Linked DNA regions of Mytilus edulis. The protein of the gene in region 1 purifies or fractionates together with the protein of each later gene. This does not show direct contact. Links are inferred from orthologs where the notes say so. Each region holds a gene or a part of one and is shown in the gene's direction. Other genes may lie near its edges.

What was found.
Region 2: the proteins of axin-1-like (region 1) and homeodomain-interacting protein kinase 2-like purify together in Homo sapiens (affinity purification with western blotting; 3 studies listed by BioGRID). This does not show direct contact. The link is inferred for Mytilus edulis from reciprocal best matches to the Homo sapiens genes AXIN1 and HIPK2.
Region 3: the proteins of axin-1-like (region 1) and low-density lipoprotein receptor-related protein 6-like purify together in Homo sapiens (affinity purification with western blotting; 7 studies listed by BioGRID and IntAct, with this or other methods). This does not show direct contact. The link is inferred for Mytilus edulis from reciprocal best matches to the Homo sapiens genes AXIN1 and LRP6.

The regions. Positions count from the first base shown.
Region 1 is NC_092352.1:5,755,800-5,767,207, forward strand, and holds the start of axin-1-like, read left to right. Parts: upstream 1-5,712; 5' UTR 5,713-5,918; coding exon 5,919-5,985; intron 5,986-6,607; exon of another isoform or gene 6,608-7,081; coding exon of another isoform or gene 7,082-7,100; intron 7,101-8,609; coding exon 8,610-9,579; intron 9,580-11,408. UniProt on the Homo sapiens protein: Component of the beta-catenin destruction complex required for regulating CTNNB1 levels through phosphorylation and ubiquitination, and modulating Wnt-signaling.
Region 2 is NC_092350.1:42,813,166-42,824,016, forward strand, and holds the start of homeodomain-interacting protein kinase 2-like, read left to right. Parts: upstream 1-6,065; 5' UTR 6,066-6,399; intron 6,400-10,540; 5' UTR 10,541-10,554; coding exon 10,555-10,851.
Region 3 is NC_092350.1:70,035,364-70,047,202, forward strand, and holds the start of low-density lipoprotein receptor-related protein 6-like, read left to right. Parts: upstream 1-7,053; 5' UTR 7,054-7,216; coding exon 7,217-7,271; intron 7,272-11,839. UniProt on the Homo sapiens protein: Component of the Wnt-Fzd-LRP5-LRP6 complex that triggers beta-catenin signaling through inducing aggregation of receptor-ligand complexes into ribosome-sized signalosomes.

The DNA.
Region 1 (11,408 bases):
TAAATGTGTATTGCTACCTAAAACCTACAGCGCTCGATTTTACATCTGCAGCGCTAGATCGTACATCTTGAGCGCTGGACTTTAGCCTTATTCCACCATATATATTACTTGAAATCTTCGGTTCTTTATCGCTAGACTTTACATCTCGCTTTCTAGAAGTCTCATATTATGGTGATATGTGATACTCAACACCCAACGGGAGGGATTGTGCTTGATATACATACGATGCAGACATAATCTTTCAATCACTTTGATTGAGGTCTGGCTCTGGCATGTCAGTAACTGCTAGTAGTCCTTTGTTAATTCATGGAACATTGTCATTTTGTTTAGTTACTTTTTTTACCTATTCTGACATTGAACTCGGACTTCTTTTAGACTAAGTTTTACTTTGCGTATTGCTACATGTGTTTGTTTTCTACATTGGCTAGAGGTATAGTGGGAGGGGTGAGATCTAAAAAAACATGTTTAACCCCGCCTAATTTTTTCTCTCCTGTCCCTAATCAGGAGCCTCTGGTCTTTGTTAGTCTTCAACGGTATGAAATTTTAATTCTAGTTTATTTTATATATTTCGGAGTATGACGTCAATTATCACTGAACTAGTACACATTTTTGTTAAGGAGCCAGCTGAAGCACGCCTCCGAGTGCGGAATTTTCTCTCTGTTTTGAAGACACATTGGTGGCCTTCGGCTGTTATCTGCTCTTTGGTCGGGTTGTTGTCTCCTGAACAAATTCCCATTTTCATTCTCAATTTTAAGTAAAAAAAAAACCACTGCTTTTTATAGTATCCGTATTAATAGACCTACATAACTTGATCATACACAACTAATGTCAAAACAAAAAAAACCCTATAAAATCACAAACAATATATATTAAATTTATATTAAGATCCATTTTGTTACATCTCGTGATCAATTTTATTTGGCAATCGCCAATGGCAGTCAGCAGGGTTTAAGACTGACATCAGTTGTTCGACCTGTTAGTCAAATGCGTTTTGTTTAAATATACTTTTTCACTTTTTGGGTCTTTTGGAAAATGTTGTTTGTGCTGTTTTTAGACCCTTCTAAAACGAAATTTGTTTTACATGCACACGTATAAAAATTGAGGTTTTTATCCAACGCAATCATAGGTTTGAACGTAGTTTTCAATTTAGACTCGTTTATATTTTTTCGTTTGGGCTTGTGTCATGTTTTCCCTCCGGTTTATATGATCCGTTCATCCTATATATATTAACTCTCAAAATTCAAGAGTCGATCTGAAATTGAGGGTAAATTATATGGCCTTCCAAATACCGTTTCGATCCCTAACATCACTGAAGAGACATTTATTGTCGAAATCTAGATCTGGTGTACAAAAAAAATATTAATACCTTGTGTTTGTGGCATGACATCTTGGTCACAAGTTTATCGTTTTATGTTTAGTATTAAATTTATATTAAGATCCATTTTGTTACATCTCGTGATCAATTTTATTTGGCAATCGCCAATGGCAGTCAGCAGGGTTTAAGAACATCAGTTGTTCGACCTGTTAGTCAAATGCGTTTTGTTTAAATATACTTTTTCACTTTTTGGGTCTTTTGGAAAATGTTGTTTGTGCTGTTTTTAGACCCTTCTAAAACGAAATTTGTTTTACATGCACACGTATAAAAATTGAGGTTTTTATCCAACGCAGTCATAGGTTTGAACGTAGTTTTCAATTTAGACTCGTTTGTATATATATAGTGTCACGATATCTCAGTAGCATATGGTTCGAATCCCGGTGAGGGAAATTGTATTTTTAAATAGATTGTAGTATTAAATACAATTTATTATACGAAAGCAGAGACATATATACACATATATATGTCTCTGACGAAAGTATGTATCAATTCTATAAAATCTGTAATCTAAATAGTACTGATGAAGATGGCGGTTGTTTAACCGGTCTAGTGGCAAACTAGACGCACATTCAGTGCAAGAACGTGTTTCTTTGTACTAGACCAATACACTGAGTAGGATTTTTAATGTGCTAGCTCACAAAGTAACAGTCTACAGAACACATGTAACCCTATATACGCGGACACATTTTTCTGACTCCAAGTTTTTGCTTTTATTCCCTGATGCCGCCACTTTCTTGGTGAAGAAGCAACCAATTTTCAAGACTTTGGTTTTACCCGGCCAGGGATTGAACCCATGTTACGTTCCGTACTCGAGGCGAACACGAGACAACCGAGTTTATACTTATGACATGGCTGTATTCTGATTATAGCTTTAGGTCACTACGATTACATTTCCAATTTACAAAATAGAAAACATAACATATTGATTAATATATGTTCGTCTTCAATAATTCAAATCATTATATCATAGTATAGTCGTCCTTCATTCAAGCTTTAGTTGCAATGAATGAATCGGAATATGTACGTCATATATTTTTTTATAAACATTTCCAAGATACATGCATCTCAAAAAACAGGTGTAATCCCGCTGCATGTTTGTGCCTGTCCCAAGTGAGGAAGGAGTCTCTGGACTTTGTTAGTCTTGTATGATTCTTAATTTTAGTTTCTTCAGTTATATATTTCGGAGTTTAGTATGACGTCCATTTAATTATCACTCAAACTAGTATACATTTTTAATTAGGGGCCAGCTGAAGCATGCCTCCGGGTGCGGGATTTTCTCGCTGCATTGAAGACCCATTGGTGGCCTTCGGCTGTTGTATGCTCTTTGGTTGGGTTGTTGTCTCTTTGACACATTTCCCATTTCCATTCTCAAAATTTTATTGAAGGCTTTAGCTAAGAGACAGAAATTGACAAAAACTTATTTAGAGACTTGTTCTTGTTTTAGATATATTAGCTGACAGCAACATTAGAACCATGTCGCACGCACCTAGTTGTGAACGTCGTAAAGAAATTTGTGAAAGACTTCCTTTTGAACAATCTTCGTTGGTGGAATAAGGCTAAAGCATATACTAGTAGTATGTACCTGTCCAAAATCAGGAGCCTGTAATTCAGTGGTTGCCGTTTGATGCTGTATTACATAATTGTTTTCGTTCAACTTTTTAGTACATTAATTAGGCCGTTAGTTTTCTTGTTTGAATTGTTTTCATTTGTCATTGCGGAGCCTTTTATATTTTACTATGCAGTATGGGCTTTGTTCATTGTTGAAGGCCGTACGGTGACCTGTAGTTGTTAATTTCTGCGTCATTTGGTCTCTTGTGAAGAGTTGTCTTATTGGCAATCATGCCACAACATCTTTTTTTTTATATTAATGTAATAGACATATATCGGCGAAGTTGGTTCAATAGGAAGTGTTGCCGAAATTTGAGAATCATTTATTGTACCACTATCAATTAATTGAGGACCTGCCACTAGTCTGTGGTGCTCTGTAAAAGTTACTCTCCGTGTCTTTCAGTCTGTTACTGTATGGCATGTATCATCATTGTTCGAGATAACCTCATGCAATTGATTGCCGTTTTGTCAAATTTTGACAAAAATGTGAAAAAAATGGAATAACTTTCCATAATTTATTCCCAATGTAAAAAATAACAAATTTTCAGAATCATCTTTATATGACCCTTAGATTACAAGATCCGATTTAATTCTTATATGCAGTGTTTAACATAAGGAAGGACCGTTTCGTTAATTGTGAATGTCCGACCATGCAAGATTCTCATTGGTAGTCAAGGCTGTTAAAACCCCTCGTAGTAGTAGAGACATATGTCTCTGGTGGTAGATTATGGTGAAATTTGGAGAGAAACAAATATGGTCATTAAACATTTAGTTTCATACAAAGAAGTAGAAGATGAATTTCATTTCACTTTAAAATGAACAAAACTAAATATAATTTATAGAGACCAATTGTTTTTTGAAATAAGCGAAATAGTGCCCTCTTTTTAAATATGACTGATGAAGCAAGATTTAAATTTTGTATACGTGTGGTGAGACTGATATAATTAGAATTGTTGTCCAATTTATAAGTGACATGTACATTTCTAGAAATGCTTTATTAAGTACTAAATAACTTTGTAGTACCATCACCTCCTTATATTCTAAAAATTTGTTAAACACCACATAGGTTATATGACTAATTACATCAGAGAGTACAAATATATGCTTCAAAGAAAAATAATAATGTGCGATATGAACTAGCACAAATTTTTAGAATTGTGCAAGCGTCTTACCTGATGTTCGGTTTGACTTTTTTATTGTATAAATTTCAAGATTGTAACAGCTTAATCTAAGTAGACTGATAATTGATTCATTTAACATCACAATCATATATACCGATGAAGGATATCTGTTATCCGAAATATTTATAAATAATTACATTTATAGTTACCTTTTTTGTATTTGGAGTTTATAGGCGTTTATATAATTTATTTATTGTGTACATGTATCGTTACGCGTAACGATCCAGCGCCCTCGTGGGGAAAATCGTTGACTACTATTCAGACGAGTCAGTGACAACTCTACAACAGATTTATCCATCGGATCACCAGCAATGATGGTGATACATGGCTGTGTACATTATGTATATACAACTCGTCTAAATATCAACCCAACCATGTTAGATTTGTAAATTTGCTTTCGCAAATATTTTGTTCTTCCCTCGCCAGGATTCGAACCATGCTACTGAGATATCGTGACACCAAATAGCCTGCACTGTAGCTGTCCTGCTAGATCACACGACCACCTTGGCTTCACAATAATAAAGCTTTCGGTGGCCATGTGTTACCTTCCCTCGTCAGTTTTAATCTAGCGTCTACTACAGTATATTTATTACATATATTGATGAATTTGGTATGATATATGTCTGTATGTGTATAACAAATGTGTATTGTCTTGGTATCAATCCTGTAATTTTTTATTTCAAACCAATAAAAATTACTTACTTACCTACAAATGTATAAGTGTAATGTTATGATTTGCTTTTCAACGGTGATTCAGACATGCACTTATATGTGTGATAATCGGAGAAATAGGGTGGTTGGACTTGAAAATCTTAATACTTTTCGGAAGAAAGAGGTCGGTCTTAAAATCTTCCTTATTTCTCTAGGGGGGGGGGGGATCTTTTAATGTTTTAACAAAAAATGATATTCTTGTAAAATGTACATGAAAAAGTGATTCCAAAATTGATCCAAAACGTCAAATTGTGGTTAAAAAAATTAGTTCCTGTTAACTCACTCCGAAGTAATTCCTGGTATCAAAATTCATAAACATTGATGTCCAATGAAAAGAAAAGATTTGTGTGCATCAGTATTAATTATTTAGTTGTGTGCCCCACAGAAAAATATGTAAGCAGTTTCCTTGTTGATGTGTCAAATTTCCATTTTGATAAACTATGCCGAATGTTTAATAACAATAAACTTTATATTTCAACATTTAATTCCCTTTTGCAATAACTTTCTAATTACAATTTGGGAGTGAGAAACAACATTTGGTTAACATAATAATTCCCTGTGTTTCTTTAAAGAGCACAGAATAATTTTTCCTTTACAAACATCAATGAATAATATAAAGTTTTAAGGTAACCCATTACGACCTAGCCGAGTTTAAACAAGCATGACATAATGACAAATTTCTCTTTGATCTCCAACTACAAAGAGTCAATAAAGTCTACCTGTGTGTATCACCGGCGTTATTACTCTAATTTCTTTGAATTTCCTTTAAGCGCCGCTTGATAAATCTACTTTAAAGTTATAAAAAGTGTGTTTGGGATAAAACGAATTAAAAATATTAAGTTACTAGTTCTCTGTAGGAAAACAAGTGAATTGATCATAACAAGATAGGTGATATCGACGAATCCGTAATTATCCCACAAAGAGAACAAAGGCGATCGGTTCCTTTGATGTTTACCTGAACATACGTAACAATTAAAATAATTAATTCGTTCGTGTAATTATGTTTTGTGAATCGTACTGATTGGATTAACAAGTTCTTCATAATGTCTTTCTTTCAAACCCTGGTTAGTTCTGAACCACAGTGTCAACATTTTAACAGAAGGAAAAAATGTAACTATATATATACTTTTTTAAATAATAATCTTATTTCACCGTTACCTCTCTTCCTACCAACCTTTTCACGTACAAAGTTATAGATTTATAACACTAGTGTAATACATTGACCATCACATATCGCCTAAGGCACGCCGATGTAATTTATAGGGGCAAATGTAAATTATCTAAGAAGATGAAAGACTAATATAATACCCCGCGTGTTATTTTGGTGTGTTGTATTTACAAAAAGATTATGTAATATTTCTCAGCAATATGCTATTCCATTGTAAACTTTCATCATTTTATCGAAGGTATCCCGAACAGCTTCAGCACAGCACGAATTTACTTCTAAGAGTCCATTCTCTCCTAACTTTTGTTGCTATCGGAAGCTTTTCCCATTTGTATATATTTGAGGGGGCTCATGTTTAGTTGGTCATATTTTTAGGATGCTATTGTAAATAAAATCTACTTATTTTATATATCAGATGCAAATATAGTGTTGATCAAATAAAAAAAATGCCAACAAAACACAATAGATAATTATATTTTAATTGTAATGTTAATCGCATTAACATTGATTTACCCACATGTTAGACTAATCCACAACATTTTTGTGAATGTTGATTTTATCTCGTCTGTGATTGGTGCGGTTCTTCAAAAGAACTGTGACGTCACTTTGTATTAGGATAGTCGGCGGCGGGCTCGTGGCTTTTGATGTTTGAAGATTCAAACTTTTCAAATTAATATTGTAGCATCTGATTTGACCGACATGCACACGAATTGAAACATTTATTAAGGTATGTTTCGAAGTGTACACCATCTGCTAAATTTCATATCACCATGTCGTATAAACACAGCTTTTGAAAGGGGCCATTTTGTTTCGTGGGATGTTATGAGGAGATAACTCGGTTGTGTTTTTAGTGAAATTATTTCATTTGAGGATTAAACACACTTCCTTAACACACATTAATTGCTGCGTGCAATTTCATTTGGGATTTAACTGTGGTGTTTTTTAATATCTGGTGTTTCAGTGACCGTTTTCGACAGGTGCGCGAACGCTTCAGAATAGCAATGCAATTTAGCCATTGTTTCCCAATAATACTTTGTTCTGATGTCGTTAGTTGATGAAAGTAAGTCTTGATTTTGTTTCCATCATTTCTGTTTAGTCATTAGATATGTAATTGTGCACTTTAACAGTCGATACATGTTGTTTTAGATGCCAGATGTATAATTAAACACATAAATTATGTCCCCTTTTAAGTACCCCAAGACTTATCATAATGGCCGCCTCTTGTCTTTACTGTTAGGATTGTATCTTGCTTCTAATATCAAGACGGTTGAAAATAACTTCTTAGCCATTAATCAGCTGAAATGTATGTTTTAAGTTTATACATCACATTAAATCGTCCAGTTGTTAAATTGATTGAGGTATTTGACATTAGTACATTGTGTATAAACTATAAACCCTTGCATTAGTTGCATACCATTGAACTACATTTTGTTTTTCTCATGGTGTTGTTATACACTACTGTTAACTAAACTTAGACACCCCTGACACAATACAACATTATCTTCACTGTAACGGTATTACTTGTCCTATGTTGTTTATTTTTTTAATCATTTTTTCCGTAAAATATCATTCCCATTGATTTTCAAAAGGTTTCAAATATGAGTTTTACTTACATGTACCTGCAGGCTGATTCCTCTATTGTTGACAAACAGATAACGAGTAGAAAGCATATGATTATAAACATAACATTTTATCCAGTTTAACACTATTTTTGTTCAGAGTTCATAATACATTTTGTATATTGATGGAGTTCTGATTAGAAAAAGGGCAGAGTACTAGTGCATCTTTATCTACACGGTTGAAGCCACAGACTTGTAATATTTTATTTGGATTACATTAGTTTTTTCTAAACTTTGTTAAGACACAGAAATATTTGTATTCCAACAAGTAGTTGGAAAAGATTTTGGTGAAAACTGAACCTCAATACTGAACAGGTAATGAGTATTTGCTTGTATGACAAACAAGAGAGAAAAAATAACCCAGAGTTCTGCATAAATGATAAGGAGATATGGCACCATCTAAGAAAGAGCACTTCAAATGTTCTATAGTAATGTTTAAAAGACATGGCACCATTATAGAAAAAAGCATGTTAAATGTTCTGCAGTTAATGATCAAAAGATAAATCTTCAATAGATAATAGAAGTTGTTGCCAATTGTGTGGAAAAGAATTGTTGATTTGTGCTATTAGAAAAATTCTAATACTTCACAGTTCACAGAAACAGATAAACATCTAAACACTGAATCGTTTTATACATGTCAGTGCATTCTGCATTTCTTCTGACCCATGAAACACTTCATTGATTAAGATTCTAGGTTGTCCTTTATTGATTTAGGATGATAAAAGCTGGTTAGAGTATAATTTTGCATGAACGTAAAATGCACTTTTGGCAGTATCATCAATGTGTTATGCATAATATACATGTACACTAGAAATTGGTCTCAATAGGCAATAAACACCATCAAAATTATTCAATCTTAAATTGATTTTACTTTCTTTAAACTTCAGTGTGAATTCTGTTCTTGAGATGTTTAAAAGTAACAGTTTTTAAAAGTCATGTTTCATTTTCAGATGAGCTGACAGAAACCCAAAGCTGGGTTGTATCAAGCAACATGACATCTAGCAGGGTGTGCCAGTTTCTCTCAGAGAGTGGAGGTAGTAATTTTACAGAGACTGCTCCACGGCCACCCGTGCCAGGTGAAGAAAATGAGATTCAGTCAAACGGCGGATTATCAACAAAAAGTAGTGAATCTCATAAAAGTAACAAATCGTGTAAGAGTGGTGGATCAAATCGTGATATAACTACACATTCACCTGCTGCTACACCAAGACGGTCTATGAAAGACAAGTCTCTCATATCTAACCAAAGTTGTTGTGTAGACGACGAGGATATGACAGCCCCCCTTGGTTTTGAACCAGAAGGGAGTGTGTCCAATTCTCCTCCTTTTACTGAGAATAGTACACCGCCGTACATGAAATGGGCTGAGAACTTGAGTTATCTGTTAGAAGACAGAGATGGTGTCCATTTATTTAAACAGTTTTTAGAAAACGAGGATTTTAAATGTTATTCTGTGGATTTTTATTTTGCATGTGAAGGATTAAAGAGAAAACCTCCAGATGATGTAGCTAATATACAAAGCATAATCCGAGCTATTCATAAAAAGTATATAAAAACTGATAAGTTACCATGCATCTCAGAACTGACTAGGCATTATATTCATGAAAAACTTCAAAAAAGAACTTTTGCGGCTGGTCAGGGGATATTTGACAAGGCTCAGATGGAGGTAGAGGAACATATGCGTAAAAATACATATCCATTATTCCTTAAAAGTGATCTTTTTGTTCAATATATTCAAAAGGAAGGTGAAAGAAGTCCAAAAAGTACTAGTACTAGTGGTTCAAATAGTGTACGTCCAGTTTCAGGGCCTCTTCCTACTCTTTTGGAAGATCAGGAACTTAATAATGTGTCATGTTGTGATATGGATGGTCCACCCAGTGCTTCTAAAACCTGTGTGAAGAGAGTTGTGAATGAACCATTTAAGTAAGTACACTATGTTGTGCTTAGTCTTTAGCTTATTGAATTTAAGGTGAAGGTTACTCTACAGACCCTGGTGAAGAAGTCCACATATAAATGTCTGAATGGCCTTCAATTCTTTTGTTTAAAATAAAAAGTGGGAACTACTTAAAGTTCAAAATATAAAATACTAGTGTTTATGGTTTCCCTATCTACAATATTTTGTTTCCTCAAAATGACTATCCTTTAATATAGGGTTTTATTGGCACAGTGATAGTGAAGTATGTATATTAACTAAATTGGAGACGGTCCCTAGGCCTGTATACTCGAGTTGAAATGAGCTAAATAAAAAAATATCTAATTACCATCCTACCAACTACAATTTTAAGGAGGAAAAACACATTTATTTTTATTTGGCCAAAGTAAATGTACTTACACTTACACCAAATATGTATAGCAATTTTTATCCAAATTCTTAAAAAAGTAATTTCTGAATAATTCTTGAATCACCAAATATGTGCACATGTATAAAGTAACAAAGTAATTTATATACAAATGTACATTTCCAAAAAAAGAAAAAAAAACATTGAATGTAATGGATATTCAGCCTCATTGAAACTTGAACACACCTATTGAATTTTAAACAACAAAGAGACAGATTTGTAAAAGCAAATTGCTTGTTTCTGAATCCTTAATATTATTTCATTGTATAATATGTTTAATGTTGATTTATCTGAATAAATATTGTTTAAACTAAACAACAAAGAAATCCTCAACTGCCTTTCTGAAAGATTTTAGTGCAAAATTTTCAACAAAAAATAACCTGTTACCTCTGTAGTTGTGATATATATATTATATATATATAAAAGTAGGTCATAAATGTAAGAAGATTGTTGTGTGAATGCTTTCATCTTCAAATACTTGGTATATTTAGGGCAAACATAATTAGTTTAGGATAAGAGTATATACATTTGTTAGTAAACTAACAATTTTGTCCCATTTGGATGAGCTTTGTTTAATTACACAAGATCTACAGTAATAAATTTGGAAAGAAATACTAAGGTTTTATTAAATTTTAATGTTATTTTCAAGCATAATATTTTGTTGATATGAACCCAGTTATTAATGACCAATATGACCTACATGTATACAGGTGATAGTGACAGGTCTTGTGGGGAATTTGTTTTGTAACCCTTTAAAATTGAGACTAACACCTTTAATAATTTCATGTGTCCGAAGCCTTTGATTTGTACTCTACAATATTATAGGATATGATAAATAAAATAAGTTTGTTTGTAGGTATTAAGTAGAATTTGTTTTGTAACTATCATAAGTTTGATTTGTACTCTACAACATAGGATATTATTAAGAAAATAAGTTAGATTTTTTAGCAGGTAGATTTAGGTTCCTTCACAACTAGACCACCCTATAACTTTTCACTGGTTCGAAGGATGTTACAGAATTTGCATATTCTAATGTGGTTAGCTGAAAAAACAGTCTAACTTTATCATATGTACAATGTATAAGTAAAAAATGCAGGGTTCGAATTTAAGCTTTTGTGTGTACTGGCCAGCCGGACCAGTGGACTGAAAAATCTACCGGTCCGGCTCCAAATCAACTGGTCCTGCAAAAATGTCATTCATTTGACAAACACTTAATTTTCTTTTTCTTTTACATATATATGTTAGACAAAAAGTGCTTTCCTATCCTTTATTCCCATAGATTTTTTGGGCTGTTCTGATTGCTCATGTCAGAGATAGTATAGAATATAACTTAAAATTTGAAGATCCCGTTGCAAAAATACATTTCTTATCTAGGTCTGTCACTGCAAATTTTTCACATTTTATACAATTTAT
Region 2 (10,851 bases), on another chromosome or scaffold:
GTACTAGCATAGAACTGACAATCTTGTTTCTGAAATTTGTTTATTAGAAATATATTGAACAAATTGTAAAAATTTAGACCGATAGATTGTATTTCCATTTTTTTCAAATTATACATTATATTAGTTTTCATATCATGTATATAGAGCAAAATTTATTTGTAACATATTTTACTGATTAAAAATATCATATCAAACCATTTCTTTGAGTTACCACGATACGAAACCATCAATCAAGTTTAATACATGAATGAAATCATATGCGGGGTATACTTTAATAGGATAGTCTTACCTACACCTCACTTATAACAAAAACTATTAAACTTGTGAAAATCCTATACATAGCTATTTTCAAGCTAATAGCTATAGGCCATTTTCTAAAATTGATCTTTGGCGGTTATAGCAGATAGTTAGATAGTTTAAACATATATTTAAATTGTTCACAGCAAAAAGGATCAGTCACCACAATACAAAATATATAGCAATTAAAATATTTAATGTGAGCATGCATTTATATAATACTTCAAAAAGAAAAGGGAAGAAAGAAAAAACGACATACATTAGGGTGATGGTGCTGTGTATTTTGCCTATGGTAATTATACTATTGGGAATCGTTTTGGTCTTTTTATTGAATTTAAGACTTATATAACAATTTGCTAGTTTTTATCACAGGAGAGTGTTTCTTTTCCAAATACCAAAAGTTTAAAGTCAAAATTGAAGACTTTGAAAAGCCAGCTGAGGTTATTAAAGATAATGGCCCTTTCATTTAAATAGAAAGGACAATCATAGAAAACATGGCTCGTCTCAATATCCAATCCACATTTACATGCTGGTTCAGTTATAATGTAAGATTAAATCCCTATATGCTTGTGCCGAGCGTAGAGTATTTATGACACTCTTTGTTTTTCTCTCCAAATGATCTTGTTTTCAAAGAAATAAAATAATAAAAACTGAGAGATTTTTTTTTTAATCGGTCATATTATCGATGTGTTATTTACACGATACAGATTTGTTTTTTTCTGCTGTCTAGTTTAAACATTTTTTAATGTCCAAAAAGGACAAATGGATTAGGCACAAGTAGTTAGTAACGTCTCTCTGTGTTGTTACGCTACTTTCCAGAGTGTTTTCACAAACATATTCATAGCACCCCGCCACTTTCACAAACAGGTTAAATATTTCTGCCTCATTATTAAGGGCTTTTATAAATCTTTAAAATTTTACATTTCTTGTATGAATTAATCTTGATAACATTAATGCCCTCTTGAACTTATGGGGAAGTTATCGTTGAGAAAGGTTTCCGTTTTCCAAACTGATTAAAACTTGACGGTACTTAAATATGGATACACAAATCTTTTCAAGGAAAATTTTCATTAGCGGTAAACACTCTTGAAAGATATTCTGAAAAATTTGAACATTTTTCTTAAAAATTGAAACCTTTTTTAAATACATGATACACACAAACATATCATACAGAAATTTTCTCATTTAGATAAATGATATATCGAAAGGCACATCAGGGACGTCCGGTGATGCGACACGAATTCTATAAATTATACTTCACGTAAGGACAAAAATGGCAACTAACAATTAATCTAGGTAAAATATCTTCAATTTTCCGATGACAAATGCACTATATGAAGGTCTGGAGAAGGGCTCCCCAACACAGTATTCTTTAATTTTCTAAGCCATGTTCCTCTATTCTTTATATTTAAACACAAAATTGTTGTTGCTTTTCCCCCGGCTTATTTTCTGTGTTTATATTGCCCTTAATTCGGTACTTTTGCCCATTATTCATTTTTTTCTGTTGTCAAACCCATCCAGACCCTCCTAAATGTATATCTCATAAGTCTGATATAAGTAAATATAACGTATGTCTCTTTACGGTGGTCTCTATTAGTACTACCAATTTGCAACTAAATATGATGATAAATGCTTTTTCTCATACAAATAGGATAAATATGCAAAAATATAACTACTGGAACTAGAAATATGTTATTAAATCAGTAACAAAATATTTATTGGACAATAGGGGCTATCATGTTATCAAAATTTCGTTTTGGACAATTCAAGATTGAGACCAACTGTGCTCTTGAAAAAGAAATTTATTCCAGTACTTTTACAATTCATAGCTTTTGTCAAACGCAGTAAACATGGTAAAGATCCGTCTTTACATTATGTTTTCACACTAGTTGAAGTGTGTGTCGTTCCAAATGAACGGCGAAAGACACCAAAGGGACATTAAAAATCATAAGTCGAAAATATACGCCGAGGCAACAAAAGAAAGAGATCCAAAAACGAACCCCACCAAAATAGTGTGGTGATCTCAGCTAGGTGCTCCGGAAGGTATACAGATCCTGCTCCGCGTGTTGCTTAAAAGTACACGAAAGGAAGTTATATAAAACATTATTAGTGATATTGTGTTGGTAATTTTAGATGGGATATTTTCGTTAGATATTTCAAAATTAGTGTAATCGGCCTAGCATAGACAGTTCATTTTAGTTCGCTGAGAGCTAGAAAACACCAATAAAATATTGGGTTATGTCGCTTTGAACAAATACGCATCGCCTTCTTTCGCCAAAATAAAAACAAACGAAGATTAAATCATTGCTTGGGTTAAACAAGTAAGACAAATTACTTGGATTTTTTTCTATCAAAAAAAAATGCAGATCACAAAATGTTGTTTTGTTCGCGCTAATTTAAAAAAAAATGGATTAATTAATTGATAGAGTAGCATAAAATTTACCCGATTTTACAAAACGTTGTTTGCATGACTTATTTGTAGGGTATTGAACATCAATTACTTGACAAGTTCAAAAGTTCGAAGTTTGGATGATTGCTCAAAAGTATGTTTTAACGTAGAAATCGACTGTTTATGCCATTGGCATAATACACACAAAAAAAGAAATTATGTACTTCAAAATAAAAAATAAATAAAAGTACTAACGTACTGTTAACGTTAATGACCACAAGATCTAAATGGTAACGAATAACTCATACAGAATGAGATCTCCCTATAGGTTTTTAGTGGCAATTTGAATTTGTTTTCTTATGTTCACTGTTAAATATTTCACATCAATTTAAACATTTGAAATTGGAACCCGAAACCTTTATACAAGCATGATAAGTACGCTTTCTTTATTTAAATACATGTTGACAGTAAATGGACATGGAATTTTAATATACCTGAAGAGTTGTACATTTGCTCTCTATTCTTAAGGTCTTGGAATAGCATAACACAACTTGGTAGATGTAAATATACCGCAAGCCCCTGATAATAATATTTGATCGATTGATGATAATTATGTAACATGTATTCATTCACATTCATCATCACGCATGAAGAATTCCGTTATCTTAGATAATTATGATTAATTGTTTCCTGCAATGTATAATATCAAGGAATTTTATATTTATACAATTCCTTGATAATTTGTAGTTCAACCTCTGGTAGAAGTGCAATTAATTATTGAATAGAACAGTTGGACTAGGTAACATATTATTGAAGCAAGTATGACAATTGGACCATGCAGTTAACATATAACTAAATTAAATGTAACAATTGGACTTGTTAAAGGAGTTCGCTTCTCAGTTTCAAAGTAATTAACTTTTCAATACACTAGTTTATATAGATAGCACGCCTGGTAAACCATCTAGTCTCAACCAAAATGTTGAGACGGAAAAAAGTATTCTGGCACTTCCTGTTGAGCTTTACTGGTTCAAAATATTCAAAATAAATACAGGGTAGGTCGACTTTTCGTCAATTTACTGAAAATCAATGATTTTTTGGTAAAATAGGAGAATGTCATGCCATAGATAAATAATAGTTGTAACTTATATATCTCTTCTTGGTTCAAAATATCTGAAATTGAAGTCACAATCACTTTCCTCCTACGGATTATCATGTTTACATTCTTTGAATCCGATAGAACTGCTATGATAACAATGACTTAGCAAGAAAATTTGTCAATTATTTGTGTTTTTTAAATTTTAAATGCTTTACGATAACCACGTCTGTAAATTGCAAAACTATTTGTTTGTCAAGCCTACTCTTAGCAGAAAAATGAAAAATTCTAAATGGTTGAGATATAAAGGTATTGGTTGAGTCTTTCTGTCACAATGTTGAGACTTTCTGGTTACTTTGTGCCATAAAATATTTTTTTTTTTAAAACATGGGCGCTGAGGTTTCAAAGTTCAAATTAACTACGACTAGGAATCCAACACGCGTGCATTATTACAATACAAAGATAAAAACTATTAAAACATCTATGCTAGAGGTTATTTCAACTAATTAAAATGTAATTTCTGTTGTAAAAATAAAGTTATTTCCCAAAATGAACTAATAAACTTTATCAGTGTACCATTCGAGTTTACCTTTTTACGGTTAAACTGATTTATGTTTTCTCTCTGTAGTATGTTTTAAAATCTAAATACAGATACAATTTTAAGAATTGCCGATAGAAAAATGCATGCGTTACAAGTATAAATAAGATTATTTTAAAAATATTTATTAATATGATTTGGATGAATTCGATTCCTAACAGACATTAAATATTCAATGCCGAAAATGCGTACATTTATAAAGAAATAAAATTGTTTAAAACTTGTTTAGGTTTATTTTTTCTTACACATTATTTCAGGATAAAGTATGGTCGTGGTATTGTCTTGGTGAGGTCTTGATGATCATGTTGAGAGTAGCCGACTTTAAACATGTTCAAAACAATAGTGATGAGTTCATGGCGAAATCAGGTTGTATAATAGACTATATTACAACAAATGTCTCTTCAGAAGATGCTGTCATAACTACAGACAAGATTAAAACGACAGTTGAAATGTCAAACAATCACGACAAGTTTATGAATTTTGACCGTTTTTATGTAATTGATATACTATAAAGCTAGTAGTAGAAAATTTCTTTCACCAGAAGATCTCAACATTGTTCCAGAATATCTCAACCAATACCAGAAAATCTCAACATGACATACTTTGTAACATATTTAGCTTAATAAAACTATATAAGTAAAAAAAAAGAGAACAAACTGTAACTTTATGCGGTTTGTAAGGTTTAGAAAAATACTAATTTACTAATATATATGTTAGTTTATCAATGATATCACTGTCATTTTGTCAATAACTGACTGTACTGGCGACATTTACCTGCTGGAGAATAGTCCGTGATTCCGATGTCATTTTAAATCATATTGGTCCGTGTTAATGTACACGAGACAGACAAACCCCAATTCAATTATCTATGGCATGACATTCTCCTATTTTACAAAAAAACGCATTGATTTGCAGTAAATTGACGAAAAGTCGACCTACTCTGTGTTTATTTTGATGATATTTTGAACCAGTAAAGCTCAACAGGAAGTGCCAGAATACTTTTTCCCCGTCTCAACATTTGGTTGAGATTAGATGGTTTACCAGGCGCGGAGATCATGATTAATATTATCATTGGAGTCTATCGTCCGTCGCCCGTCGTCGTCGTCCGTTAACTTTTTAAAAAATCTTCTCCTCTGAAACTACTGGGCTAAATTTAACAAAAGCTTGGCCACAATAATCACTACGGTATCTAGTTAAAAATTGTCCGATGTGTTTGGTTATTAATAATAGATTATCTTAGATATCATATCAGTAAATAAAGCCGGTGAGCCTCTAGTTTTTAGAAATAAATATAATTCTGATGATGTATATTGTATATCGGTATGATTATATGATGTTTTGTATATATTAGAAGTTTTTTCCTTCTGAAACAGAAAACTGCAGAGGCTTTTGGCGCAAAATGCAAATTCCTTTAATAGTCATTGTGTCTGATTGGATGTTATTTTGGCCAACTTTCTACACATGTTTCTATGACGTCATGGTTGAGAACCTGATGGGAAATTCTTTAACAAATTTCGTAGCCACATTTTCGTATTCAAAATCATTTATTATTTTGTTATTATAAACTAGTTTAAAATACTTTTAATGAAATTTTTATACCCCAAAATAATAAAAGCGTAAGTTTCAATTATAATACGTGTATTAAATGGTAAACAAAAATGAAAACCAAAACTATATATTTTATCGGAATCGAAATGTGAATCCCCGACGTCTCATCAACATGAATTCGACTTGATCCCCCGAAAGCATTACGGAATGAATTAACGAAAAATGGCTATATTGAGACATATTTCGGGGAAGAGAACTACATGATTTTACTTTTTAATCTTTTATGACAAGGGGGAAGCAAACAGACTGATAATTTTAGTGAAACGAGGGTTACTTTCTGCTTCAAACGGAACAAAACACGCACTGGAATACCAATGTATCGACAACAAAAATCTGATCTTCTTTGTTGATGTCATTTAAAGTGGGCACACATACCATCAGGTGCTCTTATAACTGGATTTATATTCAGGAAAGGTAAGATTTGTTGAATAATAAGATAAATAATGAAAATAAGGAATTACAGATGACCATATGCGGAATAAACCGTTGCAATGTGCGGTTAATTTCCGCCTTGTTTATCGGGGTCACATTTCAAGTCAAGGTTACATTCGTCATGTTTACGTTAATGGTAACCAGTGTTATGTCTTGTATAAACTGTTTTCTTTATATATCTTTTGAAAGATTAATAAAAAAATAAAAATAATTTTGAATCTGATGTGAGAAAGTTGCAATGTACTTGAAAACTTCTCATGAAATCTTGAAAATATTCAGGTAATTTGATCATGCTCAGGTATATTGGCAATATTGCACCATGGGCACATGTACAGTAGGAGTGTTTACATTGAAGACTTCCAATTGGTATACATAATAGGAACCCAATCCAGGTATTTTGATTAAACATAAAGGATGTGAAATATAATAAAGTATTGGAAGTCTAGAGTCTGTTTCCCCAAATAAAACCCTTAAAATATTAATATTAAGGTTGATCATACATGTAAGTCTGACATGAACAATTCAGTATACTAAAGATAAATCTTAGTTTTTTTGTGAAACCGACTCCTGGTCATTATTTTTAATAAATTCCACCTTTATCAGACAATCCACTAAACAAATGTGAAGAAACATGTGGCTCCCTGAGACCCTGACATGATCACACCCTTTTAAAAAGGTTTGTGTTGAAAACATTGTTTTAATCTTATTTGAGTTGGAGTATTACTGTAAAATGGAGACATTATAGGTTTTGTCTGAAATAAGTGAAGTCCTCCAAACGTTACTTTCGTAGACCGATTCTTTTTATCATGTTTATAGTGTTTTGTGAACTATTTGAATAATTAATATTGTCATGATGATCAAAGACCAAGTTCGTTCATTATAACAGGGTCGAAATGGGGGCACTTTCATAATGACATAATGAATAGCGAAGGTTCCAAAGATTTCTCAGTCCTCAGTGGTCTTTTGCATTTAATTGGTCTAGTATGTTTTCAAGCATTACTGGTCCAATCAGTGTTTAAGCAGTCTTTTGCATTATATACATATATATATGATTATAACAAAATTCCTGCATCTACACTGGTCATTTTGCCCAGTAATTGATGAAGTTTTACTGGACATTGCCAGATGTCTGATGGAGCTTGGGAATAACTGGAATAACAATAAAAATTCTTGGCAAATGGCTTCAACATCAATTTTGGTGCATGATGATAAAAAAAATCAATTTGCGTTAATTTGTTTCCCAAAATTACAACAGTGATAATTATTTGAGACCTATGAAGAAATACAGCATAATTTTAACCAATTTGATACTAACAGTAGTGGAAAATGCTTGTTTGAGGCCTGACTGTTAAGGGCATTTCTACCCTCTTACAAGACTTGTAATTTAAAAGGAGGGAGCTGAAGGCTATATCTATAATAATCAAACTTAACTTGTCACAATGACATTTCCAGGATAAATATTTTCATTGTTTTTAAATTACTCGTGATCATATCAAGCTAACTGTTACAACAAAAAATGCCCAACTAGATTTTTTTTCTCCGCCTACCTAAGCTAATTGCTCAAGAGAGGCTAACAATGGGATATTCCAAATGCAAACATAAATCGAAAATAAACATGGGAAAAAAGCAGTACCAAAACTCAAAAAACAGTACATGTATGTGAATATATAATTTAAACCCAACATAAAAAACTACATTTTGTAAAGACTGAGCAATACAAACCCCATCTAACATATATATACAAATGTATACATGTACGTATCACAACAATCATGCATGAATTTTAAACATATAACAATAATGCCAAATAAGGTGCGAATATGCAGGGTGTGAACAAACCTAGGACACAAATGTGTAAGCTTAAGGTGTTAACTAACACAGGGTGTAAATAGAGCAAATAGACCGGATACCAACGTAAATTGCCTCATGGGGAATTATTCCATACATTTTTTAGGAAATAACCGGGAACTGTCAGAAATTATAGTTTAGGTGAGTTTTCATTGAAAATATCACAAATTTATAAATAAATGAAACAACATGCAATAACAGTATAATTTTTGGGGGTAAAAACTAGTAAAAGAAATTTTATGTACATCAATTCAAGAAGTAATAATTAGTTCAATGATAAGAAGTTATCAACAACTTGTTATAAGTTGTCAGTAAATCAGGTAAGGATTGTTCATCTTTTGAAAAAGATGCTTCATTTGCAAACTTCCAAAAATACATTATAGAACTGATAGACATTAAGTTTATCAAGGATGTTATATTAGAAGGAGAGTGAACACTCTGCTTGATACAAAATTAGCACCCCCAGGATATCAGTTCGATCAGAGAAAAATATAAAGAAACCAACATGTTTATCAACCACTTGACATGGCCCTCTGATGTACCCGGCTGTTACCGCGAGTAGTTCTGGCTATTGGATAAATCGCATATGTCACATGATTGTTTTAAGTGACTGGGTCATTAAAGTTCAGGTGTATTTTTAGTTACAGTGCAGTGCATAGGTGTTTATGATTTGGAAAAAGATTTGACGCGCAATTTCAAAATCAACCGTCTGTCTACGGTGAAAAAAGATAAAGAAATGACAAAGTTATAAGGGTTTAAAGGAAAGTTAGTGAGCGATTTTTATTCAACACTACATTGCTTTAAACAAAGATTTTCGCTTCACCTGTCAATTTCTGCTTATGAGAATTGGCAGGTAATAATCATAGAAAATATACGAATATGCAAAGTACTTTAGTTACGGTGACCGGTAACGACCGGAAGGAATATTTGCAACTGAAACATAGAGAAATTTATCGGGAACATCGTAAAAGTGACTTTCCATCTTTCTGTTATGACTGTTGATATTAACATTGACGGCAATGAGACGGATATTTGTTTTATTTCTATTGGTAATAAGTTTACTTTTAACATAAAATTTTAATTTTTAAGTACTTAATAAAAAATATCACAAAAAATCTGATTAATATTTCAATAATTGTATATCTGGTCAGTTTATGACACCTCAGGTGTTTCCGTTCTTACTCGGGTATGTTATTAGGACAAAATCTCCCTCTGTGACTGAGTCGATCTCAACTAATTAACACCCACTTACAGAAAAGTCGGTAACATTTTATGTGTAATTATCATCTTTCGTCCTCTCTCCTTCTAATATAACCTCCTTGAGTTTATAGACAATTTAATATTATAATTCTCACAAAATAATTCATCTGCCTTACCAAACATCCAAAAATTTATAAAATAATCTGAAATCTAAAAACTGTAAAATTTATAATACAGTTTTATTTGTAGAAATGAACCAGTTCTAACGTTAACTTTATTTGTTAATTATAAATAACAAGATATTGAAATGCTACATGTACTGCTACATGTATATTATATGTCCATCCACTTCCTATTTTAGGAACATTTGAATTACAGATACATCATGTACATGTCGGTCACAATAGTCTTATTAGATTTGCTAATCCACTATTACAACTTTTTTTTTTGCTGTAAAAAACAAACTGTCATTTGTAACTACAATATAACTGTTACCTATATTTTTCAAGAAATAAAATTTGGAACATCCTATTGGAAATACACTTCATAGTATTACTCTCTTGTATCCTCTAGACTAGCCCTGTAGATGATACAGATGTTTGACACTCAAAACAGGTCACTGGTGCAGACAGAACAATAGTGGTTCTAAACTGAAAATACTTATACATTGTATATAATATACAATTCAATGTGACATATTTCTGAAGGATTTGTAGTTTCCATTGTACATATATATATATGATATTAGTGCATATTATACATGTAAATTGTTCCATTTCAATGCTTGAATTGATTATTTTTTTGTTGCAGCAGGTGTTACTAAATTACATTTGTAGTTCATATTGGCAATGATTATTAGCATTCAGTTGTTTCAAATTAGTTTAATAGTAGGCACTTGTGCAAATGTTCATATACACATTTTTTGTAAAATCAAAATGAATGCTACAAGTGTGATGGGGAGGAACAAAACGTAAATATTAGATGCATGTCTCAAAGGCCGTTACAATACATGATTTCTGTCAAACTCAAAAGTTTGTTTTTAATTTGTTATATTTTTATTGTGTTTATTTTGCAGACTAAAAGTTACTGATGCAAGAAGACTTTCTAAAGTACAGTTCAAAACAAAGTGCATTTAGTAACTTTAAGAAGATCAAGTTAGAACCCGATATCCATGATGTGAATGCTTTTGGTAGACACGAAATATCAAGCAGCCCTATAGTATACCAACATAATACTGCCTATATTTTACCACAGAATCGTAATGTCCTAAGAGATATTGATAATCAGACTCAGAATTATATCCGTGCTTCTACAATTAAACTATTAAATTCGTACCAGAGATGTGGCATTAAAAGGAAGAGTGACGACCTTGACGCACCCATGCAG
Region 3 (11,839 bases), on another chromosome or scaffold:
AATTTCCCTTAATCGGTATTTTCGCCTCTCTTTTCAGTGGCGGATTCAGGGGGGGGGGGGTTCCGGAGTTGAAACCCCCCTTTTTTTTGGCCGATCAATACATTTGAATGGGAGCATATAGTTGGAACCCCCTTTTACTCTGTGTTGGGATCCCCCCCCCCTTTTAAAATGGCTAGATCCGCCACTGCTTTTGCATATATACACAGCACCGACAGAATAAAAGATATTCTTGTTCCTCGATATAAATATTTCATGCTTTTCCTAATAGTCGGTCGAATATGTTTGAGATACCGAAATCAACGACCACTTATGGGCAAAAATATTATGTTGGATACACGTTTATGAGATGTGTTTTTCTGAAACAATTTTTAAAAAAATCCATGAATCTAATGGGTTATTACAGACATATTTGAAACATATAATTCGCTTGGAATAAAAAAGAAATACTTACTTTCTCCTTTTTAATTTGATATACTTTCCCAGAAACTAAAACTTATCAAACGACTTTTCTAGCAAATATGATTTTTAGTGATCATGATAATCATCAGACAAAACTAAAGTCCAATGTCCTTATTCCTGTACGTAATACGCGTACGCCCCTTTCACTTTTTGACGCAAGATAGAAATTCTGGAATCCTTAAACAGTGATTAAATACATCTACATTACAAGTTTTTCCAAGTGGTCAATTTATTTCCCGTATTTTCAAGTACATATCCAATACTTACCTTTTACTTATACTGAAAAGACCAAATGTCTGTAAAATTCTCTATTTAACCAATTAATCAGGTCAAAACCCGAGTTATGTCGTCATCACTATCTAATCATAATTTCTGATATGAATAATTATCCGGTGATTGATAAATCAGAAAATTTCATATTTATACATATAGGGTTCACAGATAACTTAAATGTGGCGCATTATCTAATTGGTGATATATGCGTAATAAAGAAATATGTTCATCCCAGCTCCAACTGCCATATTAGGGTGTACACCCCTCCTACCCCCCCCCTTTTCCCCCCAACAAAAAAACAAACTTGGAATATTCCAACTGTGTTAGTCATTGGCTATGAACTAGCTTTCAGATTTTAGTAGTTCGAGTACTTTTCGGTGCTTTGTGTCTATTGTTTAATTTTATGTTAGTTTTTTATGTGCCTCGATTGTATTCATCTTTGGGGTAAGCGAAATGCAACTATAATTTTACAGTTTGTTCTTACGTTGCACTGTTACACCACGGACGGTTGAGCGCTCATAAACATGTTTAACCCCGCCACTTTTTTGTCAGGTCAGGAGCCATGCAGTTGTACAGTGGTTGTCGCTGTTTCATGTCTGTCGTATTGAGTGTGTTCGTTAATTGTTTTTGATAAATCAAGCTGTTTTTTTACTCGTTTGAATTGTTTCACATATTTCATGTCGACCGGGGGCTTTAATTACGGACTATACGGTATGGTTTTTTTCTTGTTAAAGTCCATAATTTGGCCTGTCATTTCTTATTACCACTTAATTTAAACTTTAGAGGATAGTTGTCTCATTAGCATTCATTTCACATCTTCTCATTTTCAAAGGAACCACCATTTAACTTTAAGTTGGGGTGGGGTTGGTGGGTGGGAAGGGGGGTTCCTAAAAGATATTCTGATACATGATTTGATAAAAACAATTATTGTGGTCAAGCAGATTCCAAAAAATTTTTATTCTGAATCCAGTTTTTATCCCTTTGTCCCATACCTTATAGTGTTAAATTTGAAAAAAAATGACTGATAACGTCGAAAAACTAAAAATAAAAGCGCGAAAAAAATGTTTGACTCAGACAAATAACTACACTCCCCCTTATCCTGAATTTAAGTGGTTGTTCTCTTATACAAAAGTAAAACGACATTTTCAACGACTAGTGAAGTAACGTGTGCAGTGTACAACAAACAAACAAACAAACAAACTAACAAAATCTTACCGTTATCACTTTTTGTTTGACCTCAATGGTCAATGTTCTTGACTCCAGTTAGATTTCAAATTCAAGTCTAGTCATTTGGTTGTTAACTGCATGCACTCAAACGAATTAAAAATAGATCATCAAACAGCTTGACATGTATCGTATTAAATAGGAAACGATATCATATGACAAATTAGGCAATTTGGTGTTTGAGGGCAAAACAGTATAAGAAAACAATTAGATGATCTCTATTTTGTAATTTTTATCAACTTGCCACTTTTTCATAGATCCTATAGCTATTTCTTAACCCTCTTTCCCACATATCCACTTTTTGTATTCTCTATTATCCTACATCTTCATTTTAAATTCCTATATCACGCATCCCAAGAGCGTGCGAACCCTCTGTCTCCCTTTTCAGTGATCTCGTACATCATCCCGCAGCATTTCTGATTCTAAACGGTAAATGTCTATTGTCATATTCGTACTTGACCTGTATGTTATGCCAAATGGTCAACGACGTTGAATTTATATTAAAACATAAAACTAAAACAAACGATTTATGAGGAAACTAAGGGGGGTAACTCTAGATTAAGTCGATTAATTTTTTTCGGCCTGTAGTTGCTAGTCCTTGGCATCATGGCAATATTTATGAAGAAGGTACTTCAGTTTTCACCTGTATAAACAAAAACAAAAATGTAAACAGATAACTGAGGGGCATAACTTTTGACCACAATACTAGTATAAAGGGATATTTAAAAGGACCACTGCGGTCCGTATTTTTGAGTCTGTCCAAGGTCAAAAGCATATGGCCTTTATTAGTCTTGCTTAGTTTTTTTCTAAATTTTAGTTCATTTGTACATGTTTCAGAGTTTAGGGTGACGTCCATTTTCATTGAAATAGTACACAATCTTGGCAAGGGGCCAGCTTAAGCCCGCCTCTGTGAGATGGATTTTCTCGCTGCGTTGAAGACCCATTGGTGGACTTGCCTGTCTGTGTTCTCCTCTTTGATCGGGTTGTTGTCTCGTTGACATATTCCCCATATTCATTCTTAATTCAATTCTAGAGAAACTCCTCCTGGTAGTGTTTTTCGATGGCTTAAGGTAGTACCTAACACTACAGGGAGATAACTCTGTAAAATCAGCTAAACGTTTTAATAACGTTGTGTTGTTAAGGGAATATTAAGCTTCTCAATGATCAAAATAAGTGTTTGTCAAACTGCTATATAACCAGTGTAATTTTTCTGATAAAATGGTTGGTTCAAATTTTTTGAAATTTTTATATTTTTGTAAAAGGGTCAAAGTAATACTTTGTCAAAATTTTAAGAAAATGTCGTTAAGTAAGATTCTCAAATTGGTCATAAAAAACGATTTTATTTATGTGTCACCATAGGAAATCAGCGCATGTTTGGTTATGTGTAATATTTTGTCAAGCAGCAGGACACCTATGGAAAATTCCGACGAAAAATTGTTGTTGAGAGGGTTCTTATGGTAACATGTCGAAATCACAATGGTTATCGGATTTTGCCCCTGTGTAAGTATACGTACATTAATCTGTATGTTTTGTAACCTATTGGAATTCGGAGGTAGCTTAAGTCGGTTTCTTTTATGTGTTGTTATTTTCATTTGGTCAACTTATCGAGATTAATAAGGGGAGGGTTTAGAATAGCAAAATCTGGTTTAATCCTTCCTCATATTCATGTACCTGTCCAGGACCAGGAACCTGTAAGTGTTTATATAAGTTGTCTTAGTTTACACATATATACATAAAAAAAATCGAGTTTGGTGTATATTGTATATTGATCTTTTTTCAATATTGACCAAAGACGATGGAGTTCGAGCTTGATCTCATAAACATGTTTAACCCCGCCACATTTTTGCGTCTGTCACAAGTCAGAAGCCTCTGGCCTTTGTTAGTCTTGTATTATTTTTAATTTTAGTTTCTTGTGTACAATTTGGAGTTTAGTATGGCGTTCATTATCACTGAACTAGTATATACATGTATATTTTTTTATTAAGTTAAACCTGCCAATTGATATTTTATTGTGTGTTTTCTATGTTGTGTTGTTATGCTATTGTTTCAGAAAAGGGGGAAGGTTTGGTACCATTTAAACGTTTAATCCCGCTGCAAATGTTTGCACCTGTCCTAAGTAAGGAATCTGATGTACAGAAGTTGTCGTTTGTTTATGTAGTTTATACGTGTTTCTAGTTTCTCGTTTTTTATATAGATTAGACCGTTGGTTTTCCCGTTTGAATGATTTTACACTAGTAATTCTGGGGCCCTTTATAGCTTGTTGTTCGGTGCATGTGAGTCATGGCTCCGTGTTGAAGGCGCCTGCCGTACATTGACCCTTAATGGTTTACTTTTATATTTTGTTATTTGGATGGAGAGTTGTCTCATTGGCACTCGCACCACATCTTCCTATATCTATATTTGTTTAGGGGCCAGCTGAAGGACGCCTCCGGGTGCGTGAATTTGTCGCTGCATTGAAGACCTGTTGATGACCTTCTGCTGTTGTCTGATCTATGGTCGGGTTTTGTGTCTTTGACACATTCCCCATTTACATTCTCAATTTTATAATATATATTTCAAGATCGTATGTTGTCCTCTAAATGTATTTTGATTGATTAATTTTGTCTTGAGGTTGCTGTCCCGCTGACTTTTAGTCCCTTATCTCCTTTAATTCCTATTGATAGTTGTCTGGAAAAGGTATATTGGTTTCATTTTGTTTTTATTCGATTGTCCTAACCATGCATTGGTTACTTGCCACGGACGACATGAAAATCAAGAACATATTCCTAAATTGATTGATTGATTGATTGATTGATTGATTGATTGATTGATTGATTGATTGATACGCTCTTTAGTGTCGTTCGTTTAGTTTAACTAGTTAGTCTTGCGTTTTAACTTGAATTACGTCCCTTTGCATGATAGCCTTCCACAAATGTTGAATTTGATGCCGATTTTCGCTGTTCCGTGCTTGTCTATGATACTGGACAGTGAAAAATATGGTAACTTTATTTTCCATTAAATGAACTCCATTGATCTTATAGTTCCACATCAGACATTATGTTAGACGGGAAACAATAAGTTACAAAGTCTGAACAAACACTATACATTTATTTTTTGTCGATATAAAAAAAAATAGAGCATATGATTGCCGATATGAGATATCGCGCCAACAGAGACCCGAAATGACTTAGAAGTTTTAATATCTATGGATCATCGTACAGCCTTCAGCAATGAGTAAATCCTATAATGCACATAAAACATGTAAAAGGCCCCGGCAAAAAAATCTTTACCTTTAAAAAAGGGCAGAAAATAAAAATAGGCTGTAGTTACAAATCACAAAATGTACTAAAAATACAAATCCAAACCACGCTGGGTCAGCCTCTGAATAACCAAATGATTAATGCCTCTGTGTCTTCATTCAAAAAGTCTTTTGTGTAAGACTGCTATTTACAAAGAGAATCTGACGTTAAATAAAAGTGTGGTCATCTTATAATTTACTGTAAACGCATCTTTCTTTTGAGGTTCAGCTCTACAAAAATAAAAAAAAACTGCATGTACACTTTTACATCATCCATTTCTTAACCCCTTTTCCGCGACTTATATTGCCGCTTTCGGTTCTTCTAAATCCTTCTATGATGGTGTGGATTGGTGTATATGAAATAGAGAAAAATGGGTAAAAATACACTGTACACTTTTCACCATCCATTCTTCGACTTCAGGCGCGGATCCAGAAGGGGGGGGGGGGGGGATGTTCCGGGGGTTGGAACCCCCCCTTTTTTTGGACGATCAATGCATTTGAATGGGGACATATAGTTGGAAACCCACCCCCCCCCTTTGTCCTTGGTTAGGAACCCCCCCTTTTTAAAATGGCTGGATCCGCCCCTGGACTTCATGACAGTTTTAATGTTGTCCCTTTCGGAATTGTCTAAGTCCTTCTATGAGGATGTGTATTGGGGTCTACAAAATAGAGAATAATATATACACAAAAGAAAAAGAAAAAAAAAGAGAAATATAAAACAAATTCACAAAACACGAGAGAATAGATAAAATGGACAACAAATAAAGAATATAGAAAAATGGCCAAAACCTGGGACTATTATACTAATTAGTATGATAGTCCCAACTATTATATACTAAATTAGTATAACTTAGTCCCAGCTTAAACTGATGACCGGAAAATACAGATATATTTATAGGATCCCCATCCACTGACCCACTTCAATGAGTCGGGAAAAAAAGGTTTTCTTGTAGATTAGTAAAAAGAGCAATACCTTCGTGTTGCAACAACTTTAGAAAAATATCAAACGTTTATTAATTGTTCAGGGTTGTCACTAGGGGATGACAATTTTTTAGGAGTTAAATAAGGGTGAGGGCATAGGCGGATCCAGGGGCGGGTGTTCGAGGGCGGGTGGTCCTGGGGGTCCCGGGTCCGCCTGTGTAGGAAAAAAATTTGGTTGATTATATACGAAAATTCACTGAAGAATGACTGGAGCGCCCCCTTTTATGTCAGTCAGTGCACCCCCACCCCCTTTTTTACAAAGTTCTGGATCCGCCACTGGAGGCATAGGGCTTGGGTTGGAAGGAGGAATTTAATCACGAGGCCTGCCGGGTTTGTACGAGAGATAACTGTCCATCCTCGAGCTGATAAAATTCTACCTAAAGTTTTTTTTCTTATAGTCATCTTAGCTTTGTAACTCAGTCTATTTTTGTCCAAGATCCTTTTATTAATTGAAAGTGGCAACGAATATCCTATAAATGTCATAAATCTGTTTTCACATGCAAAAAATATGTAATAACACATATGATAAATATGTGACTAAATCTTTTTAAGTAATTACGATTTTTCTATAATCTGATTTCAAACAAACCCCCATTCTTTATTTTTTGACAGGTGCCAGTTATGATTAACCTTTTCTTAGACATGCAAATAGTGCTAACTAACTAGCTTCCCGTTTTAGTCATTTTTCTTTTGGATTCTCGTCTTGTATTTTTCTCGTGTCCATTTTACAACAATGAATGCAGTACACAACTGATTTTCGTTAATGGATTGGAAATATAAATGTTTACTTAACGGTTTACAACAAAGGCGAATCACGGGCACCTGCCAAGCGGAGTAATACACAACATGTTTTATAGTTCCGGTCAATTTTGTAATGGCTGCCAATGATCTCAAAAAATACAAATGTGACCTAAATAAGTTTACCGTTCCTAAATTTATGGACATTATTAATGTCTGGGACCGGACTTTCTTGTTTTTACAGACATTCATCTGTCCGTAAGGATGGGGATGGTGTCAAAATTATATTTAATAATCGGATGTCTGTCCATAATCAAAGGTAAGATCATCACCTGAGATGGAGTAGTGTACACAAAACATCAAAGATACCGTGTGTATTCCGTCCCCTTGTTTATTAAATGTTAATTAGATAATTAGTAATATTAAAGAATAGATCGTTCAAAGTTAAATGTCCAAAGTTATGATTTTTTCATTGGCTTTATTCTTTCAATCAAAAAACAAATACGCAATCAAAAGTTTTGACCATTCCTTTGATCTCGCCGCCATAATGAGAACTGCAGTGATTTTGTGTATTCGCTACGAGCTTTGATCATTTTAAACAGTTACACTATTATCATTTTACAATGTTTTTAAACTTAAAAATGTTTGTAAACATGAAAGAATGTCTTAAATTGTGGATTTGTAAAGTAAACAAAATGTGTTTTAGGGCAATACACAAATTCCCTGTTTGGTCACGTGACCGTTCTCTGTCCCTCTTGATTTACTCAAACAGTGATATACTTGATGGTGTTCAGTTGAAAGGTTAACTTTTTTTTCATGAACCAAAAGAATGAAATATATAGTTAATTTTTATTATTTAAAATTTATGCAGAAATAGATTTAAAAAGGAATGTCAGATTATTTTTGCTACCTACTAAATATTGTATGCAATTTTAGGGCCCTTCAACAGTTAACCTAAAGGACTTGATAAATTTAGATTTAGTCATGTTATTGTGTTTTGGTTATTAAATTCAGATCCCTTCGTATACATCAGGATATAGCAACTTATAGCTGCTTACCCTCCTGTTACATACTAGATTCAAAGAACCCATTTAGGCTAAACAATTAAAACATTCTTTTTTTTTTTTTTTTTAATATTAAACATATTTTATTAACAATCACCTTTTACATCAACACTCAGTTGCCCAGGGAAGCAACTAAGGGGGCCCCAATTTTTACAGTCTCATTTGTCGGGGAAAAGCAAATGAGAAAAAAACTCCCCCTATAAATTATTAACATCAACCTTTATAAATATTATCTATCCTTGTACAAATGTACATGTACCTGCAATCAATATCGATCTATATATCTATACATCTCACCATATATAATTATTTGAATAAAGTTTGTTTTCTATCTTCATTTATTTCTCACAATTAAAACATTCTTATAGAATATGTAAAGGATTTTTTTTTGTAGCTGTTACAGCTTTGTAGAAACCAGAATTTTGTGATCAAAATATCACCAGAAATTTCAGTCTGTTTTGTCTTGATATACTCCCAGCCAGCCATCCTTCCATCCATCATGTCGATCTCCTGCAGTGACAGAACCAGAAATTTTCACAAGTGCGGGCACACTGACTGCCTAAGATGGGGCATGCTCCGGTCATGCTTCAGTGATACCCTATATAATCAATCAAATTTTTCCCAGGAAAAGGGGTGGGGGCCCAAAATCCACCTCTGTTCGTGTAATGAAATAATAACTTATTGACAGGCCATAGAATCTTGTTTGTGTCATTGTATTTACATGTATAACTACAGTTGCAATGTAACTCTCCATATCATAGAATATATTTGAGGACTTGTAAAAGATTAAGAATTTGCAAGGCAAAGGCCCAACCTGCACAAAAGTGTTGGTGGCAAATAAAATGGAAATGGGGATTGTGTCTAAGAGATAACAACCCGACCATATAAACTGACAACAGCAGAAGGTCACCAATAGTTCTTCAATGCAGCGAGAAATTCCTGTACTCAGAGGCGTCTTTCAGCTGATCTTTTAGATTTTAAAGACCATTTAGATTTAAAGATACAGTATATTACTATGATTACATTTAAAGCTACCTTGGCTAATATCTCGACAATAGTTTAAGCCTATGATCAACTTATTAGGTTGTTGTCTCATTTATAGATATTAACCTAAACCATTGTATACCATACATCTTCTGACAATACATTTACATTCAAAATTATTCTGAACAGTGCACTTGAAATGTTGAAATTCTGATGGGATCTCTGACTTGTATAAAACTTCAGTTTTCATACAGATAGTAACTTTTTATGCCCCACCTACATGTACATTGTATTAAAGTAGAGGCTTATGTTTCTTCCTGTCTGTGTGTCTTTCTGTCCTGGTTTGGTTAGGTTAGGTATTGGTTTGTGGTGGTTTATGATTACGTGTATATTGGTTTATTACTTACATGTAGTATACATGCATATTTTGACGTGAACCGTTTAATACATATGTTGCTAAAATGTATGGCTTTTGATGTCATTTGCAATACACGAATTTCCTACATCAGTCAACCTTGTTTTAAAGGGTCACCTGTCTTAATCAGAAATCTGTCTGGTTAGGTTATCCTAATTTTATGTCCCATTTTCTATGATATCTACCTACCTACCTATCTACATGTACCTATGCTCTTCATTCCTGGCGGAGCACACGTTCGCCACAAGATTTCACCATCCAGATCTGTCTTAAGACTTTGTTTCGACTTCTCTCCATGTCATGTCAACCTCCTTCAGTTCTGCCTCAATTGTTCGACGCCAGGTTGTTTTGGGTCTTCCTCTTGGTCTCTTCCCCTGGGGTGTCCATCTTAGAGCTGTCCTGGTTATGTTGGATACAGGCATCATCATGAGAACATGCCCCAGCCATCTGAAGGGCCTCTGTTGTATTTCTTTGAGGATATACAGCGTGACATGGACTTGCTCCTATCAAGAAGATGTTCATTTGTGATAAGGTTTGGCCAAATGATTTTACAAATTTGCCTCAGACAATTGTGATTAAAACTTTAGAACGATCTTATATACATGTATATCTGTTTTTGTTACTCTCCAGCATTCACCCCCATGGCCATACAGAAGGATGGATTTAACATTACTGTTATAGCCTTATCTTTGTTTTTCTGTTGTATTGGCTGGACTTCCAAATGGGTGGTAGTCTTTGAAATGCAGATCTTGCTTTAGCTAGCCTACTTTCATGACTTTTAACATTTTTCGTTGTATCTTCTGTATTAACGACAGTTCTTAGATAGGTAAATTTATCTCCTTGTTGGGTTTCTATGCCCTCAGATTTTAGTCTTAAGTTTGATGTTGTGTTTAGTTGAATTTCCTGAGTCTTTTTGCGTTCAGTTATAATTAAATTTCGCTTGCAAAATGGCTGAGCTGATTTGTCTTTTCCTGCATAATATATTGTCTTGTTTTGATGACAGGAGTGCTATATCATCAGAAAAGTCAAGGTCTTCTAGGGTTGTAAACATGGACCATGTGATGCCTAGAATCTATGAATTTTGAACCTCAATCATGTCAATTCAAAGATTATCTTTCTTTTCTCTGGTCCCAAAGTTTCAGGATTAGCCACTAGTTTGATGCACCAGACGACCGGTACAGTACACACTGGGACATGGTCTGAAAAATCATCAGTATGCCTGGCATTAAATGCTGGGCTTTTATTGGGGTCATAAATGGGGTCATAAATCACTGGCATCATGTACATGTACATTATACTTACAAATGTAGGACCTAAATTAGATACAGGAAAAGCCTTAAAAGATTCAGAACTATTACAAACTTTTAGTGGGCCATCAGAACCACCACACTGACTGGTCCACTACATTCTAAATTGATAGACCTATATGTACATGTACTTTGGTTTTTGGACAGACAGTACAAGTTTTTGACTAAGATGAAGAATTGCTAAAAATATACCCACTTAGGGCAGTCAGTGGGCCCCCCTTATAAAAATTGATGGATCCGCCTCTGTCCCCACCCTAACTAAACCATTCATGTCGTAAAATTAGAATATACCTTAAACCTGCACTGTGCAGTATGCCATGTATGCAGTGTACACTGAAGTGAGTATTGTACCAATATTTGATAAGCAGAAATTTCTGTAGTCAGTGGCCCCCCTTATAAAAATTTATCGATCCGCCACTGTCCCCACCCTATCTAAACCATACATGTCGTAAAATTAGAATAGACCATAAACCTGCACCGTGCAGTGTGCAGTGTACACTGAAGTCAGTATTGTACCAATATTTGATAAGCAGAAATTTCTGTTGGCTTAAGATCTAGGTAAACATGATAAACAAAGTAATAACATCATTTCAAGCTATAGTAAATAATCTGCCAGCCACATGACAGTTTCGACACTTGATTAAACAGTTTCTTTCTGATTAGCTTAAGTGTCTCATATAAGTTGTCATTGGGTGGACATTAAGCCTCTACTAATGAAATTGTACTTTGTCAACCCCCAAGTGACAAATGTATTAATGATCTTGTTTTAAAGTATCCTTGTTAATATTACATTTGTACATTGTCTGTTTAAATTTATTATCTTTTTCCCTTTACATTGTGTTTAAAAATAGCATTGAAAAATCACTTTTTTGTTTCGTCTGACTGCAAGGTAAAATTCAACAGGTTTTAAAAGTCTGTATATGATGAACAACTGGTATGTAGTGAAAAGGGGAGTTTAACCCAAATGAGACAGCAACCCAACAATAAGTCTAAGATCAATGGACAATTTTTTTAAAATTACAGAACTTAGTCTTTCCAATACAAGAGACAAGAGAAGAAAGGTACATAGATACAACCTAATCTCGGTTGCAGATCCAGAGGAGGTTTGGAACCCCCC